7 linked regions of the Ovis aries genome follow. The protein of the gene in region 1 interacts with the protein of each later gene in a pairwise test. Links are inferred from orthologs where the notes say so. Each region holds a gene or a part of one and is shown in the gene's direction. Other genes may lie near its edges.

Region 1 (3,985 bases):
GGAAGATTAAGTGAACTGTGCATGTGAAGGGTTTGACGGCAGCACAACACTTAGGTTATTGTTTGTGGTTGTTGCTTTCTCATTGTGAAGAGTCACTTTACCTACCCTGGATGTCAAATCCAAGCCCATCCTCCTTCCAACCTCTTCCTATTCCTAAGCCATACTGTATAGTCACCCACAGGAACCTGTGGTGGTAGTAGTAGTGGTTACTTGCTAAGTCGTGTCTGACTCTTGCAACCCCATGGACTGTAGCCTACCAGGCTCCTCTGTCCCTGAGATTTCCCAGGCTAGAATACTGGAGTGGGTTGCCGTTTCCTCTCCAGGGGATTCTCCAGGGGATCCTCCAAATCCAGGGATTGAACCTGTCTCTCCTGCATGGCAGGGGGAGTTTTTACCGCTGAGCTGCCGGGGATTATAGCTGACCCCAAACTATCCAGGGGCTACAGGTCCTCACCAGCCAACAGGCTAGACTGTTTCTCACCTGTGAAGACTCTTCCCTTTTCTGGCTGCCCAAAAACTAGACTTGGGTTTAGGCTCCTGGGAAGCTTCAATCTGCAGGGATAGATTGCAGAGAGTGTTCCTACCTCTACTTCCCCTGTCGGCCTCCCAGCTGAGCAGGAGTAGGAATCCTTCATAAAGGCAATTTGCTCATCAGATAAGCTTATCTCTAGGCTGCACTGTGTCACTGGGAGAAGAGCCCAGAAGCACTATGGTTCTAAGCGCAGCCAGGTTCTGTGCTTGCCCCAGAGTGAATGTGTGAACGTTGTAGTCTTTCCTTGGCCCATTTCTCAGATGGCAAAGCTGAGGTGGAGAGAGGTCTTTCTGAGAGATGCCAAGGCTTGGTTGAGGACCACTCCTGGCAGCTTCGGTTTAGCGAAGGGGTTGACACAGACTGCACTCAGACACACGAGTTCCGGTTTAGCTCCCGACTTTCTGAGTGAACTTGGGCCTCGGTTTCTTCAACCGTACAACGGGGACAGAAAGCTGAAATGCGTGTCCTCAAGACACCTAGCTCCTTGCGGCTGATTAGCTCACCGCTACCTGGTCGTTGGGCCGCGAGCTCGGGTCCGCCCGCCTACAACCCCCAGCATGCCTTGGGGTGGGCGGGGCGCAGTGACGGACAGGCAGCTCTACGAATTGGCGCCCGCAAAAAGGGCTAACGTTGGCGCGTGCGCAGAGGGCGGTGGGCCGGTGGGCTGGCAGCGGCGGACGCGTCGGAGCCGCGGGCGGTCAGGTAGGGGGCGGGATGGAGGGTGGGGGATGCGGGACCGCGGCCGGAGTCGCGGGCGGTGGCCGAGCGGCGCGACGGTGGGCTGTGACGGCGTGCAGCGGTCGGTCCACGCCAGAATGGCAGAGCCTGGGGGACCGGATCTGAGGGGCAGGACCGTGGTGGGTGTATGTGGGGAGGGGCGCCGGGGGTGGGTTGCTAGATGCAGGTTCGGGGCGAACTCGAGGGGGCTGAGGGCCTCGGAGGAGATGCAGCCCAGGAGGGGAGCGAGGGGCTCCGAGATTCGCGGTGCAGCATCTCGGGAGGTATGAGGTAATGTGGGGCCCTGAGGGGAGACGGGTGCAGCATCTGAGAGATGGGAGGGGACCCAAGGGCTCTGGAGGGATCAGGGGTGCAGAATCTCGGCAGTATGAAGGGACTGGGGAGCCTCGATGAGATTCGGGGTGCAGAATCTCAGGTGATTTGAGAGAGTCTGGGGGCAGTAGGCTTTGAGCGGGGTGAGATCTGAGATCAGAGGGAGCAGAGCCCGGGGCTAGTCTAATTGCCGAGGAGGAAGCGTTTTTTCCCCGAGTGGAATCTGAGGAAGATCGACGGGCTGAATTCTTGACGGGATCAGTGAGAAGCAAGATCTCTTAAGCAGGAAGAAGACACTTGCCTGAGGTTTGAAGCGACACATGACATGGGTGGGGAAAAGAGGAAGGAGCAAGGTTTGGGGGTGGGGGTGTGAAGGGGGGCAGGGTCCCTGATGGCACCCAGAGGGTGGGGGCTCAGACTGAGGGAGAGCACAGATCTGAGGTGTGGGATGGGGCGTTTAACTGCGATACAGGGCTGAAGGCTGCAGCGACTTGGAAAGAGATGAAAGGATCTTTGTCTGGGGGATTCTGGTACGCATGAGGGAGGAGTTGGTGGGGGTTGCAATGAAGAGCCCCCAAGGCTGGGATTCTTAGGAGACTTGAGAACAAGATTTAGCAAGGGTGGAACGGTGGGGTGGAGAGGTACTGGTTGGTCTGTAGAATTAAGAGACTGAATAGAGTTACAGATGGGTGTCTTGGATTGCGAAAGGAATTTTCCTGAAGTCTCTGCATAGGAAGCAAAGGGAGTTCTGGGGACCCAAAGACCTAGAAGCAATCTATGGAACTATATGAGTGTGCGAAGTTTTGCAGAGTTCAGGGATTCAGCAAGAAAGTCGTCACTCTTTGCCATCAGGACTCCTGATGGAACCTGAGTTTCCCTGCAAGGGGCAGAATCTCCCTCACCTGTTAACCAGACATCCCTCATCATGTGGCTCAGCCGGTAAAGAATCTACCTGCAGTGTGGGAGGTCTGGGTTCCATCCCTGGGTTTGGAAGATCCCCTGGAGAAGGGAAAGGCTGCCTACTCCAGCACTGTGTCCTGGAGAATTTCATGGACTGTATAGTCGATGGGGTCGCAAAGAGTTGGACATGACTGAGTGACTTTCACTTCACCTCATCATGAAGCAGCCTTGGTGTGACTACTCATTCCACTCTGAACGTGGACCCACTGAAAATGGTTGGCTTCAGAGAAAAAGAGAATGGCCAGTCACAAAGCAGGAGACTACTCAAGGTCATCTGCCCAAGCTCCTCTTGGTGTGTCCCTCCAAGCTGTGGTGACAGAGAGTGTGTGAGAGCTCCAGGGTATGAGTGGAACGTGAGGTCAGGTCTTATCTTCCTTAGCAGTTATATAAGTAGATAGAATGAATTCTACAGAAGGTGCATAACAGTGGCTCTGTGAATGAGGTGTTTGAACTGGGAGACAAGAACAAGGGATAGCAGATGCATTGAGTATTTAGTCCTGTGCCAAGTTCTAAAGAAATGGTTCCTAACTGGCAGTGGTTTTGTCCCCCAGGGGGCATTCGACAATGTCTGGACACATTCTTGGTTGTCACTTTTGGGGTGTGGAGTACTACTGGCCCCTAATAGGTAGACACCAGGAATACTATTAAACATATTACAGTGCACTGAACAGCCTCCACAACAAAAGCAGTATCTGGCCCAAAATGTCAACAGTGCCAAAGCTGAGGCACTCTGCTCTAGAGTCACATATCCTGGATTCAGATCTTGGCTCAATCTCTTCCTGATTGTGTGATCTTGAGTGAGTTACTTAAACTCTTGGCTCTTCATCTGTAAAACAGGTTTAGTAACAGGACCTATGTCATAGATTACTGTGATGGTAATCTATAATGAAGTAAATTAGAATGCTTAGTGTCTGGTGCATAGTAAGTGCACACTGATTTAGTAGTTTTTAACTTTCATATCTGCTTTCTTTACTCAATTTTCATAACGGCCCTACTAAGCAAGCTACAGTATTCAGTTTTACATGTAAGTAAACTAAGGCTAAGGCAGTGACTTGTCTAAGGTTCCATAGCTAGAGAGGGCAAAAGTAGGCTCATATTCAGATCTCTGTAACCTGGTATATTCTCTCTTTCCTTGCTTTTTCTTTGCTGGGACCTGCTCACTCTTTCATGAAAGGACTGCCCAGTCTGTATCACTATCAAATTGAACTCTAAAGGGAGTAAGTCCATCTGACTAGGTAGGGAGTAGCCCTGGACTTTGTTCTTGATTTGCTCTTAGACCAGGACCCATGGGTACATAAGGGGAGGAGCTTATCGTTGGCAGACAGGATGAGGTGCAAGAAACTAGAGGATGAGGTACAGAGGCCATTGGCTAGAAAAATCACTTCATAGCAGGGGCCGCCGAGGCTGATGGCACCCCTACTTTGGAAAGTAACTCCTGTTCTG
Region 2 (4,149 bases), on another chromosome or scaffold:
AAGGAAGGATGATTTTATGAGCCCACAGCAGAGGAGAGTTGCTATTTACTGATATGGGAAGGTTATGGGGAAGGGTTCTATTTTGAACATGTTATATTTGAGATGCCTATTAGTGAACAGATGTCTATTACTCTAAAGCATATTCTAGATTAGAAGCTGAGTAGGCAGTTGAATACATGTCTGAAATTCAGGGCTGGAGGCAGACGTTTTGGTATCATGAAAACAGAGATGGTATTTAGAGCCATAGATTGGATAAGATAACCTAGAAAATGAGAAATTGGCTTCATGGAAACCACATGAACAAGATTCCTACAGGACCCTTGTAAGGGTTTCTCTGAGGCATATCTACAAAGGTGGTTGCTGAGTCATAAAGAATGCTGATAATTTTTCACTAAATATTACCAGATTGTTCTACAGAATGCAGTTTAAATTCTCATCAACAGTGCTTGAAGATTCCCATTTCCCCATATCTTTGTGAGCACTGGAGAGTATCTTTCTGAATTTTGCCAGGCTAATGGGTAAAGTAGTGACATGTTGGAGCTGACCCATGAGAACTGATGGAGCACATTTCTTCCCAATTACTTTTCAGTGGCTTCACACTGGAAGCTTGAAATCATCAGGGATGAGAGTATTTGTACCTTGGAAATTAGTAAACACTGCAAATTAGGACTCTCCTTCAACTCCTATATATACCAGCAAACCAGTGGCTATCAGCAATATCACACCATCTATCTTTCCATTCTCTCATTACTAGTGAGTCTGAGCGTCTCTTCTATGAGTGCTTGCCGTTCTAACTTCTCCTTCTGTGAATTCGCCTATTCCTACCCGTTTTTTACTTTTATGTTGGGTTCTCTGATGTCTTTTTATTGATTTGCAAGTTACTTACCTATTTTAGATATGAGTCCCTTGCTGCTTTTGAATATCTATTTTCTTCCAATTTGTCAGCTGTTAACTTTTTCCATGGTATTCTTCACTGTAGAGAAACCATGGGTATACAGTCAAATCTCCTAGTCTTTTGTTTGAAGGTTTGTGCTTTTGCAATCTTGTTTTATGAAGTAAATCCCTACCCGACATACATAAAGATTTTCTTCCACATTTCTCCTACTTCCGACCTATTTTTCAAATGTAGATCTTCAATTAATCTGGAGTTCACTCTGAATATGGTAGACATGGGGCATTCAACTCTATTTTTTCTTCTCATTTTCCCCAAACCATCTTCTAAATAATTTGCAACTTTTCTCATTAATTTGCAGTTCCATATTTGCATATATTGAGGTCCCAGGGTCTGCTGAGTGCTCTATTTTGTGTGGCTGTTCTATTTGTTCCTGTACAAGTAGCATACTATTTTTATCACTATGTAGTAATGACATAGGATCTGCCAGGGTAGGTTTTCTCTCTTTGCTCTTGTTTTTCAAAATTGATTTATTTAACATTTGGTTTTTCTTTATGGAAGTTTTCTTTATTGAACTTTATTGAAGTTTCTTAAAATTTGAGTTCCTGTTGGAATATTGGTTGGTATAACATTGAATTTAAAGATTAAATGGACATTTTTTTTTACACTGTAAAGTCATCCTATCCATAGTATATCTTCATTTATTCAATCTTCTTTTATGTCCTTAAATAGAACTTAAACATTTTCTCCATAAAGATCTTGTAAGTTGCTAGGTTAATTCTTAATATTATGCTTTAGGATTTTATTGATATTGTGAATGGTCTCTTATTGTCTATTATATTTCCTGGGTGTTTACTGCTGAAGTAGAGGAAACATCTGATTTTTAGAAACTGATCTTGTATTTGGCAACCTTGTTACCTTGGCCTATAACTTCTAATAGTTGATTCTGTTGCTTTTATATGCTGATGACCCTCTCTGTGAACATGCTAGGGATTTTAGGATTTGCACAGTGTTCTGATATTCTACATTTAACTACCTCTGTGTTAAATGTGTGTGTGTGTGTGTGTGTGTGTGTTCGTGTGTGTGTGTTAGTTGCTCAGTTGTGTCTGACTCTTCCGCAGTCCCATGGATGGCAGCCCACTAGGCTCCTCTGTCCATGGAATTCTCCAGGCAAGAATACTGGAGTGGGTTGTCATTCCCTTCTTCAGGGGATCTTCCTGACCCAGGGATCAAACCCATGTCTCTTACGTCTCCTGCATTGGCAGGTGGGTTCTTACCACTAGTGCCACCTGAGAACTACCTCTGCAAGTTGGGCTCCAATCTGGCACCCCAATTCTAATAGTTAGATGTCTCTTGTTCACTTGCATTCTGGAAATGAGCCCCTGTCTTCCTCCCCTGTGAATCATATCCAGCCCTGAGCCCACGTACAGGAAGTAACACTGTGTTCTTTTGATTTTTTTCCCCCACTCTTTTCTCACGGACTGCAGTCCTGTTAAGCACTGAACAGACCTGGATGCTAATGTTCTGTTTGTCCACCCGAATTTCTCAAAGATCCCTGCTACTCATGCAGCATTCCTGTGTCCTGAATGCCCCCAAAGGACACCTGTGTAGATAATACAATGCAGTGAATCAACACAGGCCTTCATGTTACACAGACTTGGGTTTGAATCCTATTTCTGTCCAAGGATACAGTGAATGAGCTCCACAGCCTCCTGGAATCTGAGTCTTCATTGGTAAAGTGAAAACAAGTAAGATCTGAAAGATAGGAATCAAACTGTGCTCATATTGAGCATAATGAGTCAATAATGCCCCTGTCTCCACACTGATGCTGACTACTGATTCTGGTCAACTTCTGGGACTGCGGATTATTGCCATATTGTCCAAGAACCTTGTTGTGCCTTCAGATATAATTGAACCTCAGCAGCTGTGGCTGGACCATTTCCCCATGTGCTTTCCCACCCCTTTGATTCATGTTCCAAATTCTGGCTCCATATCAGTGCCCAGCCCGACTCTTGGTTTGAGAACTGTATAGCCCATGGGGTGTTTCAAGAAGCAGGACTCCAATGAGTGTTTGCATCTGTGATCATGGGCTAGGGAGTAACCTCGGTTTCTTGAGTAAAGGCAAGCAGGTGAGTGGGAGATTCTTTCTCTAATGGCTTCGTATCCTTGGAATTTGCCAATGTACTAGACAGTATTTGGGTAAGGCAGAAAAACCCAGTTGCCTGGCTGGTTCTAACACAGACTTTCATTATAGTGAGGAACAACGCAGCCAGCCACACCCTGTCACCCACTCGGAGTGTTCTCAGAGGGATAATTTAAATCAGCAATAAAAGTGAACTGTATAGGTGGAAAGTATAGCAACTTTTGTTACATAGAGAACTTTATGAGTTTCTGTGGCTCACTGACAATAGGGCTTATTTCAGTTCAGTTCTGTTCAGTCACTCAGTCATGTCTGACTCTTTGAGACCCCATGGACTGCAGCCCTGTCCATCACCAACTCCTGGAGTTTACTCAAACTCATGTCCATTGAGTCGGTGATGCCATCCAACCATCTTATCCTCTGTCTTCCCCTTCTCCTCCTGCCTTCAATCTTTCCCAGCATCAGGGTCTTTTCAAATGAGTCAGTTCTTTCCCTCAGGTGGCCAAAGTATTGGAGTTTCAGCTTCAACATCAATCCTTCCAATGAATATTCAGGACCGATGTCCTTTAGAATGGACTGGTTGGATTTCCTTGCAGTCCAGGGACTCTCAAGAGTCTTCTCCAACACCACAGTTCAAAAGCATCCATTCTTCGGCGCTTAGCTTTCTTTATAGTCCAGCTCTCATATCCATACATAACTACTGGAAAAACCATAGTCTTGACTAGACGGACCTTTGTTGGCAAAGTAATGTCTCTGCTTTTTAATATGCTGTCTAGGTTGGTCATAGCTTTTCTTCCAAGGAGCAAGTGTCTTAATTTCACGGCTCTAGTCACCGTCTGCAGTGATTTTAGAGGCCCCCCCCCCCAAAAAAAATAAAGTCTTATTTATTTACAGTTCGTTAAAGTCAGCCAAGCGCAGATTGCCTTCCTTCTTTCAACCAGTTAAACAGGTGGGTGGGGTCAGACAAGAACTGGGTGTGGTGAGAGCAGAGAGAAGGAGCAGGAAACCTCAAAGGGAGGAGGGAGCATCTGTGTTACTTCTTTCTGAGTGTGATGAGCTGCTGGACCTGCAGGCACAGCGAGACTGGCAGCTGACCAGGGACTGGGGGATGGTCATG
Region 3 (3,500 bases), about 29 Mb from region 1:
ATGTAAGAATTGAATCGCCAGTCCATGTCTGACGTACGGTGCAGCATGTTTGGGGCTGGTGCATGGGGATGACCCAGAGAGAAGTTGTGGGGAGGGAGGTGGGAGAGGGGGTCATGTTTGGGAACGCAGGTAAGAATTAAAGATTTTAAAATTTAAAAAATAAATAAATAAATAAATTTAAAAAAATTGCTTATATAATCAGGCTCTGTGATTGTGATCAGTCATTCTTTTCTGTGAGGTGATCTATCTCCCTCTCTTAATCAATCAATATGATTGAAATGTTTATGACGTTTTTTATGTTGATGAATTTTTTATGAAATATTTACAAGTGTACTTGAGGTGGAGAAGGCAATGGCAGCCCTCTCCAGCACTCTTGCCTGGCAAATCCCATGGACGGAGGAGCCTGGTGGGCTGCAGTCCATGGGGTCGCTAAGAGTCGGATACAACTGAGTGACCTCAGTTTTACTTTTCACTTTCATGCATTGGAGAAGGAAATGGCAACCCACTCCAGTGTTCCTGCCTGGAGAATCCCAGGGACGAGGAGCCTGGTGGGCTGCCGTCTATGGGGTCACACAGAGTTGGACACGACTGAAGTGACTTAGCAGCAGCAGCCGCAGTACTTGAGGGGCAATTGAAGTATAGTTTGGATTTCATGGGATTTTACTATATTTGTTTATATTTCATGTTCCTTGTGCTTAATTATCTCAGCATATGTACTTTATGATAATTTGAGTTGGTTTAAAATCTTTATTTGTACCTATTGGAATTTCAGAGCTCCTTTTGAAAATAATTTGCTCAAATGTTTATATTATGGTGTAAATTATTTTTCATAGGCCTCAGGATCATTCAGCTCAACAAACAAATGCCAGTGGAACCAGTGCCACCACATCATCAGCTCCTAGTAGTAACTCCACATCTGGTTCTGCCACTAGCAACCCTTTTGGTTTAGGTAAGTATTTTTAGTCATTTTGCATAAGGATAAAAATAAGCAAATTTCCTTTTTCCCAGGATAGTTTTAAGTAAGATGACAGTTAAACATTAAGTCACTTTAGCAATGACAAAAACTTGTCTAGGTTATTTCTATAATTGTAGTTATTAAGGGGATATTTGAAGATGCAGATGTGCATGCTTAGGTTACATTAATATATAATAAGTGATCAGTAAGTGGCACATTTCTTTTTAATAATGAAAGAGATATACTGTATGTGTACCTGATTTGACCACCACATAATTGACTCTGGAAAAGATTAGCTAGTTGTTGATCATAAGCTAACCCCTTGAATAGTTTTCTCCTTTGTAAAATGAAAGGATCAGATTGCATTAGTGATTTTCTAACTGTTCTAAACTCACACAGAAAGGCCTGATGCAAGCCTGGTGGTTAAGGATCTTCTGCATCAGCCAAAACTACTTTTCTTACATTAGTTTTTACACTGAGGTTCTTAGGAAGGTTTAGTTGGGGAATGGAGTGATCTGAAGCTAACAGAAGTTGAACTAGATAGATAAATGGCTTAGTGCTGCTTTTAGTTCCTAAGTTGTATGACAAGTATAATACCTTGAAATGACATTTTATCTCATTATTGACTGAGGGACTTTTGGCAGAAACTAACACCTGTGACCAGCAATTTTTATTTTGGGTAGCCAAAACTTAGTTCTGTTATTTTACTAATACTTTGCAGTTTATTGCATTGAGTAGTTACACCTGACACACCTGTGAAGCCTTTTCTAGCACCGTGAGTTTTATTTTCACTTTCTGTATCAGAACCAGTCACTAAAGTTTTCTTTTTGTTGGTCTAATATTCACATCTTCTGAATCAGAACTGTATTCTAAAGAACTGTCATCATCTGAGACGGTAGCATGTATATCACTTGGACATTCAGAGAAAGTATCTGTGTAAAATTCAGCTATTAATTCTTCACTCAGAATTTCATGATGCGTCGTTAAAAAATTTTACGATAATAAATGTGAGTCTGTAATATACACGAGGTTGGAATAAAAACTTGACAGAGCAAAATGTGAATAATGACATCATAAGTTGTGTAATGAATCCTTATACAGTTTTCATGTATCGAGGCTCATATTTTCTTTCACTTCCAGAAAAGTTTTTTAATAATTTATTGATACCAGTTATGTTGGAAACAACATTTAGGGCATGGCATTGATTCACATTCTCTCTCTCTCTTTTTTAAATGTTTGATTTAAACACATCTTGGGCTAAATTTGAGTTTTAGATGGAAAATTGATTAATAGGAACAATCTAGAAAGATTAGGATGAAATTATTTAGTGTATTATTGAGGTAAGTCTCTTCCCTCAATTTTTTTTTTTTTTTAAATATTATTTATTTGGCTGTGCTGGGTCTTAGATGTGGCATGTTAACTGGTAGTTGGGACATGTGGGATCTAGTTCCCTGACCAGGGAGTGAACCTGGGGCCCCTGCATTGGAAACATGGAGTTTTAACCACTGGACCACTAGGGAAGTCCCTCTTCTCTCATTTTATAGGCAAAGAAATTAAAACCCGCAGAAGCCTTTAGTTAATTTGTCCCTTTGCTGCTTATTTCATTCCCATCCCCTCCTATCTTAGTTACTTTTCTGCATCAGTTACTCAGTTTACCCTGTCTATTTGGCTTTTTTTTTTGCTGTGTGTTTTCCTTAAGGTCTGTCCCATGTTTAAATGAAGAAGGCAGTGGCAGCCCACTCCAGTACTCTTGCCTGGAAAATCCCATGGATGGAGGAGCCTGGTAGGCTGCAGTCCATGGGGTCGCTAAGAGTCAGACACGACTGAGCGACTTCACTTTCACTTTTCACTTTCATGCATTGGAGAAGGAAATGGCAACCCACTCCAGTGTTCTTGCCTGGAGAATCCCAGAGACGGGAGAGCCTGGTGGCCTGCCGTCTATGGGGTCGCACAGAATCGGACATAATTGAAGCGACTTAGCAGCAGTAGCAGTAGCAGCAGCATCTGCAGCATGTTTAAAAGCAACAGAATCCCACTACCACCTTTCTTTTTCTTTCTCAGCTATTTTTGGAAAAGATGTATTCTGTTTTCTGTCTGTATTTCTCTTTCACTTAAGTTTGCTGTGCTCTATTTCTTGCCCCCATCAGTTCCCTTGATAAAGTCACCATTGACCTCTTAGCTTGCCAAATTTAATGGACACCTTTTTAGATTTTTAGATACTTAGATTGAAAGTGTTTTAAAATCTAAATTGCTGTCTTCTAATGCTTATCAGTCTTTCCTTGAAAATTTTTTTCTTTAATTCTTGATATGCTTTTTCCCTGGTTAATTTTCTGACCAGTTTTTTCCTCTCTCATTTGTGGGTCTCTTCTTCCTATTCCTTTAATTAGTATTGTTCCGCCATCTGCCTTCTCTTTTTCTGTTCTTTTATTCTGTTTTCCCCAGTGACAATATCCTAACTGTAAATTGTTGACTCTCGAATCTTTACCTAAACCCACATCAATTCTGAACTCCATGCCTTGTATTCAGCTCTATGATATTACCTGAT
Region 4 (4,112 bases), on another chromosome or scaffold:
ACTAAATGAAGTTTAGGATAGTGATGTGGAGATTTTATAAATTATGTAAAATTAAATTTTTTAGTAGTTTGATAAGTCAACTGCAAAGTCCACAATTCTGTTATCAAATTGATTTCTGAAGAAAAAAAAAAAAAAGATTCCACGCAGAAGAGCAGAGGAATGAGATTCAAATGGTAAGCAAGGGCCGGTGGACAAGGGCCTCATAAGTTGCACTTGAATTTTATCGCATCCGCCCAAGGCAGCTTTAAAAGGGTTTCAAGAAGGAGAAGAATATGATAAGCAGGCTTAAGAAAAATCATTCTAGTGGCCTTTCCCAGGATGGCCGAGGAGGAAGAGCTAGGAGGCAGAAGGCCATTTAGGAGGTGACTCTGAGTCGGGGAGGTCTGTGTTCTAAGGCACAGGCTTTGGAGAAGAAAGGAGGCCGCCACTGACATGGTGTCAGAAGGGGCCAGGGTCACAGCCTGGAGCCATCAACACGGAAGCTCGGTCAGTAAAGAATCAACATCCAAAGAATAAGGATGGCCAGGGAGGAAAACAGGAAAGCAGAGAGTCGTGGGAACATAGGAGAGAGAACAATTCAAGAGGGAAATGGTGAGAGGTTAAGGCCATGAAGAGGTCAAGTGCTATGAGGCCTGCAGTGCCCATGGGTTTGTCATCAGGTAGGCAGGACTCCAGACCTGGCTGGCACAGTGCATCCTCCAACCCGACCTGAGCATTAGGTTTCTGGAGAACTTAATCTGTCAACATGCTTCGGTCCAGGGTCTCGCCCAAGTCTGACCACAAGACGCTCTGGACCGCGTGACTCTGGAGGCTTGAAGTCCAGCCACTTCCTTGGAGCAGAGCCCGCTGGAGTATCAGGAAACCCAAGTCTTAGTCCTATCACTGCCACTGGTACGGGGCCTTGGGCCTCAGTTTCTCCTGGGGTGATAGGATCAGGTGGACTATGCTGTCTGTCCATCTGCACTGCCCAGCGCTCAGGTCCGAAGGGAGTAGCAAAGGCGGCCAGCTCTCCAAACCCTCTGACTCAGGCACTCTCACTGCCTCCACATTGGACTCTGGGTTCCCCTCGCCCAAGTGGCCCATTGTGTGAGCTCTGTTTCACTGGGGACAGAAACTGGGTTGAGAAATGAGAATGTTTACTTTTTCCACCGAGTGGATGCCCAAGTAAACAATGTGATCCCGTAAGTGGATCCCATGCCCTGCCCTCCTCACTGCAGGAGAGTATAAGAAGGTATCCCAGTGGGCACATCACCCATGAGACCACCAGATCCAGAGACAGGGCCAGAGCCTCCCCCACCAGCCTCCTGCCACCATGAAGCTCACCATTGCCTTCGCCCTGGTCACCCTGACTCTCTTCTGCAGACCTGGTAAGTATCCCATCCCAAGCCAGCCTCAGCAACTCTCCCAGCGCTGCCCAGGAAAGGGGGCAGCTGTCCACGTCCTCTGCGCGGCTGCTGGGAGAGCCTGGGAATACTGACTTCCAGCCAGGAAGCCGGGTCTGGCAAACAAGCCCATCTTAGGAATTTACGCAGAGCCCTGAGGCTGTGATGAAACTTGTAAAGGACCCCATCTTCCATATCCAACAACCTCAGAAGTGCAGAGATGGAGAAGATCCCACCTAGACGCAGTGACCAGCAGAACAGGAGTAACTAACAAGCTCCCCAAAGCCCAGGCCTGGACAGACCCCGAGACGCCGAGAGACCTCCAGGTTTGGGGTCAGCACATCACCCTGGCAGCCAAAGGGGCTGGAAGGAGCCTTATGGCTTCTTCAGGCAAGGTCTCCCATTCTGGGCAGAGAGGAATATTCTAGATAGGGTTCTTCCCTTTGGGAAACTGCCAACTCAGAATGGAGATTTCTAAACATTTTTTTGTCCTCTGCAAAAAGGATTAGGAGTCTCTGAAGAGTTGCAGCTGTTATGAAGAGGAGAGTGACGGGGCAGGGGATGTGAATCCCATCTTCCTCGAAGCCCCTGATCTTTTGGGAACTGGGTTACTTAGCTGCTTTTTACTCCCTACCAGTCTCTTCTATTCCTTCTACAATAACAACCAAAAAATGTAAACAAATTCCAACTCCCTCACTTTCAAAGTTCCCTAAGAAAAATAGAGAGAAGTTTTATGACCTTGGGGAGTGGCGGGGGAGTTAGAAAACAGAGAGCAAGAGGCGGCAGGAGCAACCATGGTGCAGAGATGCCTGTTTTAAAGGGGAAGTAACATCATTTGGACTGAAATGTATGTTAATTAGAAGATAGTGCCAGGTACAACCCAGCAAGACAGGGTGAAATACGTAGGTGGTGGGTCTGGGATGTGTTTGTATGTCTGTGTGTGTGCACATATAATAATCCCTGTGCTGAATCCCATTCACATATTATCTCTTTTCATTCTTACAACAACTCTATGAAGTGGGGACATTATCCCCCATTTTTCAGATGAAAAAACTGAGCTACAGAAAGATAAAGTAACTTGCCTGATGACATAGTAAGTTGCAAAGCAGGGATCTAAGTTCTGGAGAGGGTCTGACTTGGAGTGACCCATTTGGGTGGAACCCCGGAGTTCAGGAAAGGGAGTTTGCACACAAGGTGGTGAAGTCAAGGACAGGGATTTAAGACTCAATGGGAAGACAGGGCAAACAGGGAGTGGGGCATGGTGATTCTCCCCATGATCCCGGGAGTGTTGTTGTTTAGACGCTAAGTCCTATCTGACTCTTTGCAACCCCATAGACTGTAGCCCCTGGGCTCCTCTGTCCAGGGGATTTCCCAAGCAAGAATACTAGAGTGGATTGCCATTTCCTTCTCCAGGGGATCTTCCAGACCCAAGGATCAAACCTGCAATTTCCTGCATTGCAGGCAGATTCTTCACCACTAAGCCACCTGGGAAGCCCCATGATCCTGGGGGCAGGGACCTAAAAAGAGAGCACGAGGGGGCGCCCTCAGATGAAGGGAACACGGGAGGGGGGCTGGGGATGGGGCAGAGGCGTGTCTGCGGGTGGAGGAGCCCACAGGCCTGGCGCCCACGGCAGATGTCCCTTCTGAGCCAGGCTCGGGGGCTCGTGCTTGGCGGGTACGAGTGCCTCTTCCTGCCAGAGCCTAACTTTGTCACGTGGACTCCGACCATCACTAACCATCAGTAAGAGGTATGTTTCCGGTGGGAGCCTAAACCCTTTGCGGCCTCTCCCCAGCCCCCACACACCACACCAAAAAAAAAAAAAAAAAAAAAGTCAGATCAGCAGCTTCTATTCTCAGAGCTCCGCCTGGAAAGAGCTGGTAGCACCTTGTCCGTTGCAACCCAGGAAGCACAAGGAAGGCTCAGGCAAGCTACAAAAAGCTGGCCACAACCCAGAAAGCATCCACTTGGCGCCAAAGAGCCAATTGCTTGGAGCATCACCCTCCAGGGTGGGGGTGAGAGGGCCCCTAGCTCTTGTGGACAGGCTCAGCTGTGTGCATCTGGGCCAGGTCCCAGCAGGGAGCTGGCCAGTCTAGACACGGGCCCAGATACAGGGGATCCCTCCTCTCTGTTCTCCAGCATCCACAGAGGTGTGCCCCAGCCTTCTGTATGCCTTGGGAAACCTCCTCATAGGCACGCCTTCCAGCTACGAGGCTGCCCTGGAACCTTTCAGCCCTGACGAAGACATGAAAGAAGCAACAAGACAGCTGAAGGAACTGATAGACACCCTCTCCCCGAAGGCCAAGGACAGCGTGTTACAGCTCATGGTACACGGCTCCCTCCACACCCGCTGCCCGCGTCCTGGGCTGCAGTGTCACCCACTTCGGGGCATGCGTGCATGCTCAGTCCATCAGTCGTGTCCAGCCCTGCAACTCCATGGACTGTAGCCCGCCAGGCTCCTCTGCCCACACAATTTTCCAAGCAAGCATACTGGTGCTGTGCTAGTCGCTCAGTCACGTCCACCTCTTTGTGACCCCATGGGCTGTAACCCACCAGCCTCCTCTGTCCATGGGGATTCTCCAGGCAAGAATACTGGAGTGGGTTGCCATGCCCTCCTCCAGGGGATCTTCCCAACCCAGGGATCGAACCCAGGTCTCCCGCATTGAAGGCAGATTCTTTACCATCTGAGCCACCAGGGAAGCCCCAAGAATACTGGAGTGGGTAGCCTATTC
Region 5 (4,028 bases), on another chromosome or scaffold:
GCACATGAGAAGTGTGAAATAAATATCTGTGAAATGAATGAACTAATTAAACTGATGTCCTGTTTTCCACAAAATCAGTAAACAGTAAGAAAAAGTACTCTGAGAAAAGATGCCAGCTTCTGTAGTTGACATGGGCAAATTAGCACCTTTAAGAGGCTCACAGCTGGCTAAAGAAAGCAATGGGCAATTGTGATACAGCCTGATAAATGCTATGCCTGTCTGCTAAATTCTCTCCAGTCTTGTCCAACTCTGTGACGCTATGGACTGTAGCCCAACAGGCTCCTCTGTCCACGGGATTTTCCAGGCAAGAATACTCCAGTGGATTTCCGTGCCCTCCTGCAGGGGATCTGAACCCAACAATCAAACCCATGTCTCCTGCAGCCCCTGCATTGCAAGTGGATTTTTTTTTTAAATCGTTGAGCCACGGAGGAAGCCCAATAAATGCTAACAGGGAGGTAAATATAGGGTCCTCTAGGATCACAAGAAAGGAGTTGTCTTGTATGATTTCATAAAGAATCGTAGGCAAAGGTAAATCTGAACGTGGTAAATATCTAGACAGAAGGAACAGAAAGTGGCACAACTCAGCAAGAGATGAGAATTTTTAAGTAGTTCATGTTGCATAACATTCTTCCAGAGTAACTGAAGAATTTGATGACATAATAATATATGCGAAGATATCATGACCGCTGAAGTGCCATATGAAAGTCGCAGAGTCGTGTCCAACTCTTTGTGACCCCATGGACTATACAGTCTATTGAATTCTCCAGGCCAGAATACTGGAGTAGGTAGTCTCTCCCTTCTCCAGGGTATCTTCCCAACCCAGGGATCAAACCCAGGTCTCCCTAACTGCAGGCGAATTCTTTACCAGCTGAGCCACAAGTGCCATATGTTATTATAAACAAGAGCAGACCAGCATAATATTCAAAGAAAAAGAAAAGATGATTTCGGAGGACTTCTAGTGAAGTCTTCTCTGACTTAGACTTAAACGCTAGACCCTCTGACTTTTCCCCCTACCCCAACAAAATGGATGGATTTAGTAGTCTCACGGGGCGCTGGGACAGAGGAGGCCTTAACAACGGTTCTCATTGGCCTTTCAAACTGAGCCTTTTGGACAATTGGCTGTGAAGGTTTCCAGAGGCCACCCCACAACGCTGATTGGATGAGGAGTGGCCAAGTGCCCACCTCCTCTACAGTGCCGTTTAGTCTTGTTGCTTGGCAACCGATTTGCGTCTTCTTGCCCAACCGGCACCCAGTTAATTACACCTGTGAAGCGGAGACGGTGACTGGTTAAGAACACCCTGAACTTACGCTTCTTACGCCCACTTCACGCATAAGCAGCACGAGTGGTCTCAGGGTTTCATCCACATTTATCTTCAGGCTGGGCTGTGGGCTGGCGCGGCAAGGACACACGGCAGTGGAGAAAGTGCTCAAGTCTTCCTTCTGAAGTCCTCCTTTAGAAGAGTCAGAGGAGAAAAGAAAGTCGCTGCTACGTGCCCAACTTAGGTCCACCTCTCTTGGGAGTATATATACAGCATTCTGAAGCTGGAGAAAGCAAGTATTTATGTCAGTTAACTAGGTATAGGAGAGTGACCCATAACCTCAGACACTTGCCTCAGAGCGAACCGTAGTAGTGAGGGGACAGGATCAGAGGATTTTTTGCCTTATCATGTACAGCAGAGCTTACATCTTGCTAAAAAGAGAATTCCAAGAGTTGAAGAACAACAATTATGAGGTGAGTATTGGAGACGTGGAGGTTGTGTTTCATTGGGGTACGAGTTTTTAAAAGCAGTTTAATCTGTGTTTATTCCACAAAGCATAATTGAGTTAAATCTAATTTGCACTACAGACTTGTTTAATGAACCTATTTCAGTATAATAATCTGTTTCATAATAATTATTAGTATTTCATAATAGTAGTTAACAGTATTGAGCACACTGTGCTGAGTAATTTATGGACTTTAATCCCTGAATGTAACAGTCTATCAGGTAGTAAATAACCATTAGTTATTTAGTTAGTGAATGCAGGGTTGCATTCACTAATTATCAATTGTGCCTGCATGTTCAGTGGCTAAGTTGTGTCCGACTCTTTGCAACCCCATGCACTGCAGCCCACCAGGCTTCTCTGTCCATGAGATTTTTCCAGGCAAGAATACTGGAAAGGGTTGCCATTTCCTTCTCCAGGGGGTCTTTCCCACCCAGGGATGAAACCGAGGTCTGCTGCGTTGGCAAGTGGATTCTTTACTCGATACCACCTGGGAATCCCCTCAATTATCAATACAATATTGTAAAGTAGGTAGTGTTTTGTTTTACCTACCACAAACCTAAGCCTCAGAAAGCTTTCAGTAAATATTTGGGCTCGGGATTCCATCACAGGGTTTTTTGACTCCAAAATCCCTTGCTCTTAAGTCTTGAGTTCTTTTTCTTCCTGTCTAGTGCACTTTTTGCCAATTGCTGTGACATATAACACATAAGTGTCTTTCCCTTATAATTTCATTTTAAAATTTTTATTTATTATTATTTTTGGTTTGTGCTAGGTCTTCATTGTTTTGCACAGTAATACTTTCTTTTCCCTCCATTGGAATAATGCCTCAAGTGTAGGAAAATTTTATTTTTACATATGAGCATAATTTTAGAGTTGTGTTTTTCTTAATGAAAATTTACTTCATGCCTAGTATAGCATCTGTAGGGTTTTTTTTAAAGCTATGAGGAAATACATGCTTTCCAACTATTCCTTTCTTTTTGAATTTGAATCTTAAATTGTCTATAGAATTACATAAGTCACATATTCCATTCTTGACCTTCCTGTCCCATTTGTGATTTTCATACTAATGATTTACTTAAAATTTACTATTGCATGTATTTTCTGGAATCTACCTTATCTTCTGTGTAATAAGACAGTATATAACGCCTTCTCAAGTCAAACATTTTTATCAATAAAAGAAAATTTAGAGCTTTTGGAATTCATTGTAACCTAATATCTGACTTCCCAAACTGCAATAAATATTTAATCTTTTTTTCTGCTTTAATTTTTCTTGATGTTTAGGGTATTACTGCCTTTCCTATAAGTGAAGATATGATGCAATGGGATGTTGACATTGAAGGTCTACAGAATACAATTTGGCATGGTTTGTGTTTGGGAAACCAATTTACTTTTTTATAAAAGCCTTTATATTATTAGCCTAATTTCTTTAAGGTTGCACTGTATAAATTTTCTAGAATTCCTAAAGTTTTCACATGTTAATTTTTTCATTGTATGGCTTAATTTTTTGCCATTTGTCAACATGGATGGATATTTTAGGTTTGAATATTTCTTTATGCCCAGTCTTAATGTTATCATGTTTTTAAGAAGCAGACATAGGAAAACATATCAACTGAGAATATCATCTAATAGTCTTCCATGAATTCAGAGAATAACCAACAAAATGCCTGATGGAAAAATCCCACAATTATGTCTCTTTTTTTTTTTTCTCTATGATTTTCCCACAGATGTCCATAAGTCAAGTTCTCAAGAAGACTAGGCAACCATAAACTTTAATGACCATGCCCTCTTAGAGTTGCAGATTAACAAGATATATTTGCTTAGTGAGATAGGGGAGAAAAGCATGTAAGTGGATAATTACAATAAAATATAACATGTCCTGTTATGAATTTTGAATGGAATACTTGGGAGGCAGTGATTAGTTAATTTTGCCTTGGAGAGTCAGGAACAGCTTCCCAAGGAAGTGACACTTGAGTTGGGTCCTGAAGAATGTCTGAGAATTCACCAGGTTTAGAATCAGAAGGCGGAGAAGGCAATGGCACCCCACTCCAGTACTCTTGGCTTGAAAATCCCATGGACGGAGGAGCCTGGTAGGCTGCAGTCCAGGGGATCACAAAGAGTCGGACACGACTGCACGACTTCACTTTCAGTTTTCAGTTTCATCCATTGGAGAAGGAAATGGCAACCCACTCCAGTGTTCTTGCCTGGAGATCCCAGGGACGGGGGAGCCTGGTGGGCTGCCGTCTCTGGGGTCACACAGAGTCAGACAT
Region 6 (2,757 bases), on another chromosome or scaffold:
TAAATGGAGTATCATCTGCAAAAATACTGAGTCACTGTTGTATACCAGGAACTAATACTGTCAACTGTATTGCAATATAAATAGATAAATAAGCAAACATTCATTGTATACTACTTCCAGATTTACAGAAAAGTTGCAATGTTCATTCATTCAATAAACAGATGAGTACCAGTTCGGTTGAGGCCCCTGCCCGCCTTGTTCCGAGATTAGTGAGGGGTGTCTGGCGGGTGACTGGGCGTCAGTCTTCAAATGAGGGGTCCCGAGAACTCTGAGGGGAAGATGCATGGGAGCTGAGCTGCGAGGCTCAGAGCAGCAGCTGGTATGAGCACCCCAAGGAGAGGACTCAGTGTGTCTGAAGAGTGTGACGAGGAGGCCGGAGGGGCGGGATGAGGAAGGAGAAGCAACGGAGAGGAGGGCAGGGCCGCATGGGGTCCAGTCCAGGAACCGGGCCCCCCTTTCTCGGGTCTCCAGGAAGCCACTGGAGGGGTGAGGCCACAGGCACAGTTTCCAGGGCTGTCTGGGGAGCAGGTGCTAGGGGCGCGAGAGAAGGCAGAGGCCTGGGGTCATCTGGAGGAGGCGCACAGTAGAGGAAGGTTGGGTGAGTGTGCATCCCTTCTGATGCCTGGGATGAGGAGTGAGGGAAAAGGGAGTCATGGCTGGCTGCCAGTTTGCTCTAACTGCCGGATGGTGCTCCTGCTTACCAGGGAAGAAGGCAGGTGGGGGGAAATCCTGAGTTGAGCTTTTGTTACAGCTTGGGGTCCCTGTGAAGTGGATGTGGTATGGGACTATTATGCATTCTGGATCTTAAAATATATGTTCCAGTTTTTAAGCTAGGGACAGGCCACTATTTTAGACGGAATGTTTTCAAGCCTTTTAATCATCCTTCTTAATGTGCTCCCCCCAAAGGCCGCTAGATGTCACTGTTCACACGGCCGTTTCTTGTGCAGCACGGGGTGCAGAGGGCACAGGGCGCGGGTGAGGGCCCCGGAGGAGGCCGGTCTCCCTGCAAAGGGGGCCAGTCTGACCGGGAGGTGTCAGCCGCGGTTTGGTGTGGTCTTCAGATACGCAGATGATGATAACGCAGCTTCACGTGAGAAAACCGTGCACAGCCTTCTGATTAACATGCTGCTTGAACTGGGTCTCGAAGGCTATGAGGTGGTCCGAGTGGGGGTTCAGCACTTTAGGCAGAAGGAACCGCCTGGAGAAGGCGGCGCACTCCACTGCTCACCGGGCAGAAGTGACAAGGGAGCCATCCCCGGGCATGAGGCGGGACTCGGTGTTTCTTAGTGGAGGCTCGGTTGGCGCTCGGAGAAGGACCGTTTCTCCTGGGCAGGTCTGGCGTCCTCGGCCCCCTCCCCCCACACACCTCCTCGATGCCGGGTGGTCCTAAAGGCAGCAGGGACGGAGTGCCTGTGGCTGAGATCCCTTCCCAGAGCGCGGCCCCGGTGGTGAGGAGTGGAAGGCAACCCTGTGTCTGTGCCCACCCTGATCTTGTGCTTGAGTTCAAAGTCCTCTAGAGTTGCTTGTTCTTTACTCTGTACATGATGGTATCTAGTGCCTTGGCTGATGATCCCAGCATGAGTAGACATCAGTGTGACTTCCCAGAATGAAGGATGCCTCTTACACGTCATTTTCCAGAGTGTAGACAAATGAACAGAAAAGCCAAGTCCATCTGATTGGGCCTAATGATGCCACCCTAAGACTTCAGTGACACTGGCTTAAATTTCCTGGCTTCTTTATATTCCCCCAAAGCCAGGATGCATAGGCGCTGGTGCAGGGACTGATTACGACTAACTTAGCAAACAGCGAGTAGACTCTGAATGGTGGCAGCAGACACACCAGCTCTGCATGGGGAATAAATGGGGTTTCAGAAGTTGTGCAGTTTTTTAATTCTTTGTAATTGCCTGACATGGCTATGCCTTCTATTTTTTTTCCAGACAATTTATGAAAACCGAATATACAGCCTTAAAATAGAATGTGGACCTAAATACCCAGAAGCACCCCCCTTTGTAAGATTTGTAACAAAAATTAATATGAATGGAGTTAATAGTTCTAATGGAGTGGTAAGTTGTTTCTGCTGCCCCTCCTTGTCCCCTGGGGGTCCCCCAGATTCTTTGTGCTCGAATGTCAGGGGCACTTGGGGCCTGATTGCATTTGTTCCTTGGTTACTGGATGATGACATGTACCGCAGGACACACACGTGCTGTTTTGGAGGGAGGGCCTGTTTCCCAGTTGTGTTTCAGCACAACTTGTATGGCGTTGGCTCTGGGCTGTTATCACTCAGCCTGTGCCGGTCACTTTGAGAGGAGCGCTCCTTCAGCCTTCCTGCTACACCCCCAAGAGGTAGAGGCAAGGAAATGGAGGCAGAGAGGGAAAAGACCGCCCCAACGCCACGCTTCTCCCCACGGGCCTTATTTCTGCACCATGGACATATAATACTTTCTCCTTGTAATGGCCTTGCTTTCTTATTTTTGCCACTGTTTTCACTGCCGTGAATGGAGACCAGTCTCATCTGCCGTAAGCAGGTGCTGGTGGTGACACCACAGTAAACGCTGTAAAAGCAGAGCAGGGGCAGCCGACGGCCCCGTGCCGCGCGCCAAAGGCGCTCGAGCCTCTGAGGCCCACCTGATGTCCTAAACCCAGGAGAAGTTCCTGCTTGGAGGCGTTTCTCCAGGGGGGCACTGCACTGACTTGAGGGGGGTGGCTCGGACAGGCTCTGGTCTGCTGTTGCCTCACTCTCCCTACTGCCCTGAGCGG
Region 7 (4,297 bases), on another chromosome or scaffold:
TGTGTAAGGGAGCCCAGGCTTCCCGAAACTTCTACACATTTCTTGAGGCCATTCTGGTGCACCCCCTTAGAACTCCAGCTGGTTTTCTACAACTCACCCTGCAGCAGGGGCAAAGATTGATAGAGCTAAGATTCTTGGAAGCAGGGGAAAGAAAGGCCCATGTCTCAGACACCAGCCACTCTTTGGGACATCCAAGGGGCCAGTGAGAAGGCTGGGACTTCCCTGGTGATATAGTGTTTAAAAATCCACCTTGCAATGCAGGGGACCTGGGTTCAATCCCTGGTCTGGGAACCAAGATCCCACATGCCACAAAGTAACTAAGCACCATGTGTTGTAACTAAGACTTGATATAGCCAAAAATAAACAAATAACATTTTAAAAATTTTTTAGAAGGCTGAACTCTAGAAATAATTATAACAGCCATGATAATGTAGTGGCAATAGCATGGACTATTGTTTATCAAACAATTATGAAATATCAAGACTCTTTCAAGCACTTTACATGGATCATTCAACCCAATCTCAATCCCATGAGTGTGGTACTCCCAGGATCTTCACTGTCCAGATGAAGACACTGAGGTTCAGGGAGGTGATGAGCTCAACACAGCTTGAAGTTTGACCTCTGACCCCAGAATCCCAGCTCTTTTCGTTATGACATCTACATCTTTAAAAAATTCTCACCCCTTCAATAAAACTGGACAAAAAAATGATATATGAAAAAATAAAATCTCAACCTTTCCTCCCACTTCCCTTCACCCTAACCAAGGCAGGGGCATGCCTAGGTCCCTAATCCTAACCCATTCATCCTTGGGAGCCCAAAGGTGGGGGTGGAGCTTTGCTCCCCACCTTAGACACCCCTCCAGCAACTATGGTCCCATCACTAGCCTGTTAAAGAAGGAAGGAATAGACTCCCACTAATTCTTTACAGTCTCGCTATTCAAAATGTGGGCCATGGAGCATCACCAGAAGCATCAACATCACCTAGAAACTTGTTATAAACACGGATGAAGGGTCTCACCCTAGATCTGCTGAATCAGAACATCTGAGTGTTTTATTAAGTGTTTTTTTATACCTCCTAGAGACAGAATGACAGCTCTACACGGTCCCGGTTGTAGCCTGCACGGGGGAGTACACAGCGTCTTCTTGCCTTTAGAGCTTGCCTAACGCCCTGACTCCTGATAACCCACCTTCCCGGACTCCACAAATCCTAATTCGGAAACTACAACTCCCACAATGCCCAGAGGGGCGCTTGGTTCTTTTTACACGACTACAACTCCCAAAGTGCTTCGCGAGTCATGCCACCATCATGGTGCCCAGTCTCCCCGGCACCATCAGGACTACAACTCCCACAATGCTCGGCAGCAGAACTACCGTTCCCCAGCGGCTCCAGAACGACTACACGTCCGCTCCAGCTCTGCTGGGTGAGGCCGTTCTCGGGCGGGGCCCGCGGGGTCTGCAGAGCCCTGGGCTCCTTAGTTCTTCCCCAGACAACACAGACATGGCGGCCGAGAAGGACCAGCAGAAGGATGCCGAGGCGGAAGGACTGAGCGCCGCGTGAGCAACCGAGACCCGGGAGTCCTGGTCCCCCGACCCCTCCCCCCTGGGGGGTCCTAGGAATCCCGGCCTCTAGACATAAGAGTTTGGGCCTCTGTTGTCCTCTTCGAGGACTCTGGAGCCTGGACCCTCAGCCCCTTTCTCCCCTGAGATCCAGGAGCCTGGGACCATTATCCACCCCAGAACCCCGGAGTCCGGCCCCCCTCGGTCCTCTTCTTGCTGGAGGGTCCGGACTCCATCCCGGTCGGTCGATCGCTGACGTGACCCCTCACCCATCAGGACCCTGCTGCCGAAACTGATTCCATCTGGCGCGGGCCGCGAGTGGCTGGAGCGGCGCCGTGCGACCATCCGGTCCTGGGGCTCCTTCGTGGACCAGCGGCGCTTCTCGCGGCCCCGCAACCTGGGCGAGCTGTGCCAGCGCCTCGTACGCAACGTGGAGTACTACCAGAGCAACTATGTGTTCGTGTTTCTGGGCCTCATCCTGTACTGTGTGTGAGTGCCTCTTCGGCCCGTCGGCGCCCCGGTCCCCACCCCCTCCAGGCTGCGTGGCCCGCTCTGGCCGACCGCGCCCTCAGCATCCGGCCCCACCTCTCACTGCCCGGGCCCCATTCCCATGGGATGTTCTGCCGGAAGTTTTCACCGAAGGGCCAGGTCCCTAGTTCCCCCATCAACCTGGCCAGGATACAGTGTGACCAAATGTGACCTAGACTTCCCCGGCCCCAAGCGGATCGCCTGCCATCCGCCGATGGGAAGGTCAGGGCCTCCTTGTCGGGCCTAGCCCCGGCTCCCTGACACACGGCTCCCTGCCCCCTTCCAGGGCGACGTCTCCCATGCTGCTGGTGGCCCTGGCTGTCTTCTTTGGCGCCTGTTACATCCTCTATCTGCGCACGTTGCAGTCCAAGTTTGTGCTGTTCGGTGAGAAATCCCTTGCCCAGACTGTTCACATCCTGGTCTCTTGGAACGCAAACCTTTTGACACCAAACCCAAGTCCTTTCGAATCCATGTCTGCCCAAGCCTCTATCTACACTAGATTCCCCCAAACTCGGTCCCTTAAAGTCTCAGACACACCTGATGCTCCCACCCACTCTCAGCGCCCCCAAGTTGCTATCCCCCAAGTCTAGAAGATACTCCAGAACCCACCTCCGTCTGACTCCTTAAACCTCCTTCACTCTCCCTTCTGCCTAACCTCCTGCTAACGTCAGCTGCACGTACCCCCATCGGCCACCAGGTGGCGACTTCCCACTGGCCTATATCCGTGCTCCCCCTTTCCTGCTTCCTGGGGAGGAAGTGGAAATCTTGGGATTTCTGAGAGGGAGGCTGAGCCCTGTGGCTCAGGTGGTCCCAGATTGACACCGGAAACACCACTGAGAAGAAAGACAAGCCTGAGGACTTCCCTGGTGGTTCAGTGGTTAAGACCATGCTTCCAACGCAGGGGGCATGGGTTCCATCCCCCATCAGGGAACTAAGTCACACATTATGTGTGGTGCTGGCAGAAGATTTAAAAATAAAACAGAGGGCTCTGAGTTCCCAACTAGGGGATGCTCAAGGACTTTGGAGTGGGGCTAAGGGGGAATTGGGCTCAGATGAACAGGTAGACCTAAGACAGAATGCTTCAGAAGCCTGCCGGTCACGTAGGTAGGCTGGGTGGAGGGGCGCGCCGGGCTAGCCCAGGGCATGGAGGGAGCGCTTGGAGTATAGACACGACTTGGCTTCAGCCACAGCTGCCACCAGTACCTGCAGATCCAACCTTCCAATCCACCACGAGAAGCCAGACATCTGTACAGCTGCCCCTTGGTGTCCATAGGGGGTTGTTCCAGGAGCCCCATGGCTGGCAACGTCCACCAATGCTCAAGTCCCTTATGAAAAATGATGTAGTACAGCGATCCACGGGTTTCCATCTGTGGATGCAGAGGGCCGGCCTATTGTTATGTGAAATTACCCAGTTTTTCTGGCAGCCACAAACCAAATTCTGATGGAATAATGTGCAGACTCAAAAGACACATCCCCAGGTCAGATTTGGCTCTTGGGCTGCCAGTCGGAGGTTCCAGATCTGCACTAGTGCAGGTTGGAGCAGGAGAACTAGTCAGGAGAAGGAGGCTGGGAGCTTCCTAGCAGAAGTGGGGTTGAAGGGCAGAGGGCAGGGGGCTGAGGAAGGCACTCTGTTCCCACGGTCAGTGGGTAGGGCCAAGGGCTGGAGGGCCTTAGCACAAATTTAGATTAGACCCTGAGACTCCCAGAGCTTGCGAGGTTTGGGGGAGCATCAGGGGTTACTCTGGGAGGAGGCACGAGTCAGAACAGCTGCCCCAATGCCCTCTGCCCTGCAGGCCGGGAGGTGAGCCCCGCCCATCAGTATGCTCTGGCCGGGGGCGTCTCCTTTCCCTTCTTCTGGCTGGCTGGCGCGGGCTCCGCCGTCTTCTGGGTCCTGGGTGAGTACAGGGTCTGGGCAGCAGTGTGGGCAGTGGGGGCCTGGTGAGGCCACCAGGCCCTGAACTGCCCATTTTCCTGCAGGAGCCACTCTCGTAGTCATCGGCTCCCATGCCGCCTTCCACCAGATGGAGGCTGTGGACGGGGAGGAGCTGCAGATGGAACCCGTGTGAGGTGGCTTCGCGAGAGCCCCCAGCCTCTTGAGCTAGCCGCCTCTGTTCACCCCGGTCCCACTCGGCTCTGGCCAAAGGCCCCCTTCCCACGTCAAGACCAGGGAGGGACTCCAGCTTTGGAAATAAAACTGTTACAGTTGTTGAGCA

Evidence for each region.
Region 2: the proteins of TRIM32 (region 1) and CLIP4 interact in binary tests that used the Homo sapiens proteins (3 or more experiments, as listed by UniProt). The two-hybrid records come from large-scale screens. The link is inferred for Ovis aries from reciprocal best matches to the Homo sapiens genes TRIM32 and CLIP4.
Region 3: the proteins of TRIM32 (region 1) and UBQLN1 interact in binary tests that used the Homo sapiens proteins (3 or more experiments, as listed by UniProt). The two-hybrid records come from large-scale screens. The link is inferred for Ovis aries from reciprocal best matches to the Homo sapiens genes TRIM32 and UBQLN1.
Region 4: the proteins of TRIM32 (region 1) and SCGB1A1 interact in binary tests that used the Homo sapiens proteins (3 or more experiments, as listed by UniProt). The two-hybrid records come from large-scale screens. The link is inferred for Ovis aries from reciprocal best matches to the Homo sapiens genes TRIM32 and SCGB1A1.
Region 5: the proteins of TRIM32 (region 1) and UBE2U interact in binary tests that used the Homo sapiens proteins (3 or more experiments, as listed by UniProt). The link is inferred for Ovis aries from reciprocal best matches to the Homo sapiens genes TRIM32 and UBE2U.
Region 6: the proteins of TRIM32 (region 1) and UBE2V1 interact in binary tests that used the Homo sapiens proteins (3 or more experiments, as listed by UniProt). The link is inferred for Ovis aries from reciprocal best matches to the Homo sapiens genes TRIM32 and UBE2V1.
Region 7: the proteins of TRIM32 (region 1) and RABAC1 interact in binary tests that used the Homo sapiens proteins (3 or more experiments, as listed by UniProt). The two-hybrid records come from large-scale screens. The link is inferred for Ovis aries from reciprocal best matches to the Homo sapiens genes TRIM32 and RABAC1.

What each region holds. Positions count from the first base shown.
Region 1 is NC_056055.1:7,072,622-7,076,606, reverse strand, and holds the start of TRIM32 (E3 ubiquitin-protein ligase TRIM32), read left to right. Parts: upstream 1-1,185; 5' UTR 1,186-1,234; exon of another isoform or gene 1,235-1,389; intron 1,390-1,428; exon of another isoform or gene 1,429-1,540; intron 1,541-1,551; exon of another isoform or gene 1,552-3,566; intron 3,567-3,985. UniProt on the Homo sapiens protein: E3 ubiquitin ligase that plays a role in various biological processes including neural stem cell differentiation, innate immunity, inflammatory resonse and autophagy.
Region 2 is NC_056056.1:35,951,485-35,955,633, forward strand, and holds the start of CLIP4 (CAP-Gly domain-containing linker protein 4), read left to right. Parts: upstream 1-1,349; 5' UTR 1,350-1,383; intron 1,384-4,067; exon of another isoform or gene 4,068-4,149.
Region 3 is NC_056055.1:36,082,837-36,086,336, forward strand, and holds part of UBQLN1 (ubiquilin-1), read left to right. Parts: intron 1-833; coding exon 834-949; intron 950-3,500. UniProt on the Homo sapiens protein: Plays an important role in the regulation of different protein degradation mechanisms and pathways including ubiquitin-proteasome system (UPS), autophagy and endoplasmic reticulum-associated protein degradation (ERAD) pathway.
Region 4 is NC_056074.1:37,334,579-37,338,690, forward strand, and holds the start of SCGB1A1 (uteroglobin precursor), read left to right. Parts: upstream 1-1,312; coding exon 1,313-1,367; intron 1,368-3,519; coding exon 3,520-3,707; intron 3,708-4,112. UniProt on the Homo sapiens protein: Binds phosphatidylcholine, phosphatidylinositol, polychlorinated biphenyls (PCB) and weakly progesterone, potent inhibitor of phospholipase A2.
Region 5 is NC_056054.1:39,651,016-39,655,043, forward strand, and holds the start of UBE2U (ubiquitin-conjugating enzyme E2 U), read left to right. Parts: upstream 1-1,228; 5' UTR 1,229-1,666; coding exon 1,667-1,732; intron 1,733-3,042; coding exon 3,043-3,124; intron 3,125-3,485; exon of another isoform or gene 3,486-3,603; intron 3,604-4,028. UniProt on the Homo sapiens protein: Catalyzes the covalent attachment of ubiquitin to other proteins.
Region 6 is NC_056066.1:78,133,583-78,136,339, reverse strand, and holds part of UBE2V1 (ubiquitin-conjugating enzyme E2 variant 1), read left to right. Parts: intron 1-1,937; coding exon 1,938-2,063; intron 2,064-2,757. UniProt on the Homo sapiens protein: Has no ubiquitin ligase activity on its own. The UBE2V1-UBE2N heterodimer catalyzes the synthesis of non-canonical poly-ubiquitin chains that are linked through Lys-63.
Region 7 is NC_056067.1:50,855,514-50,859,810, forward strand, and holds RABAC1 (prenylated Rab acceptor protein 1), read left to right. Parts: upstream 1-1,497; coding exon 1,498-1,553; intron 1,554-1,832; coding exon 1,833-2,045; intron 2,046-2,370; coding exon 2,371-2,468; intron 2,469-3,877; coding exon 3,878-3,979; intron 3,980-4,061; coding exon 4,062-4,150; downstream 4,151-4,297. UniProt on the Homo sapiens protein: General Rab protein regulator required for vesicle formation from the Golgi complex. May control vesicle docking and fusion by mediating the action of Rab GTPases to the SNARE complexes.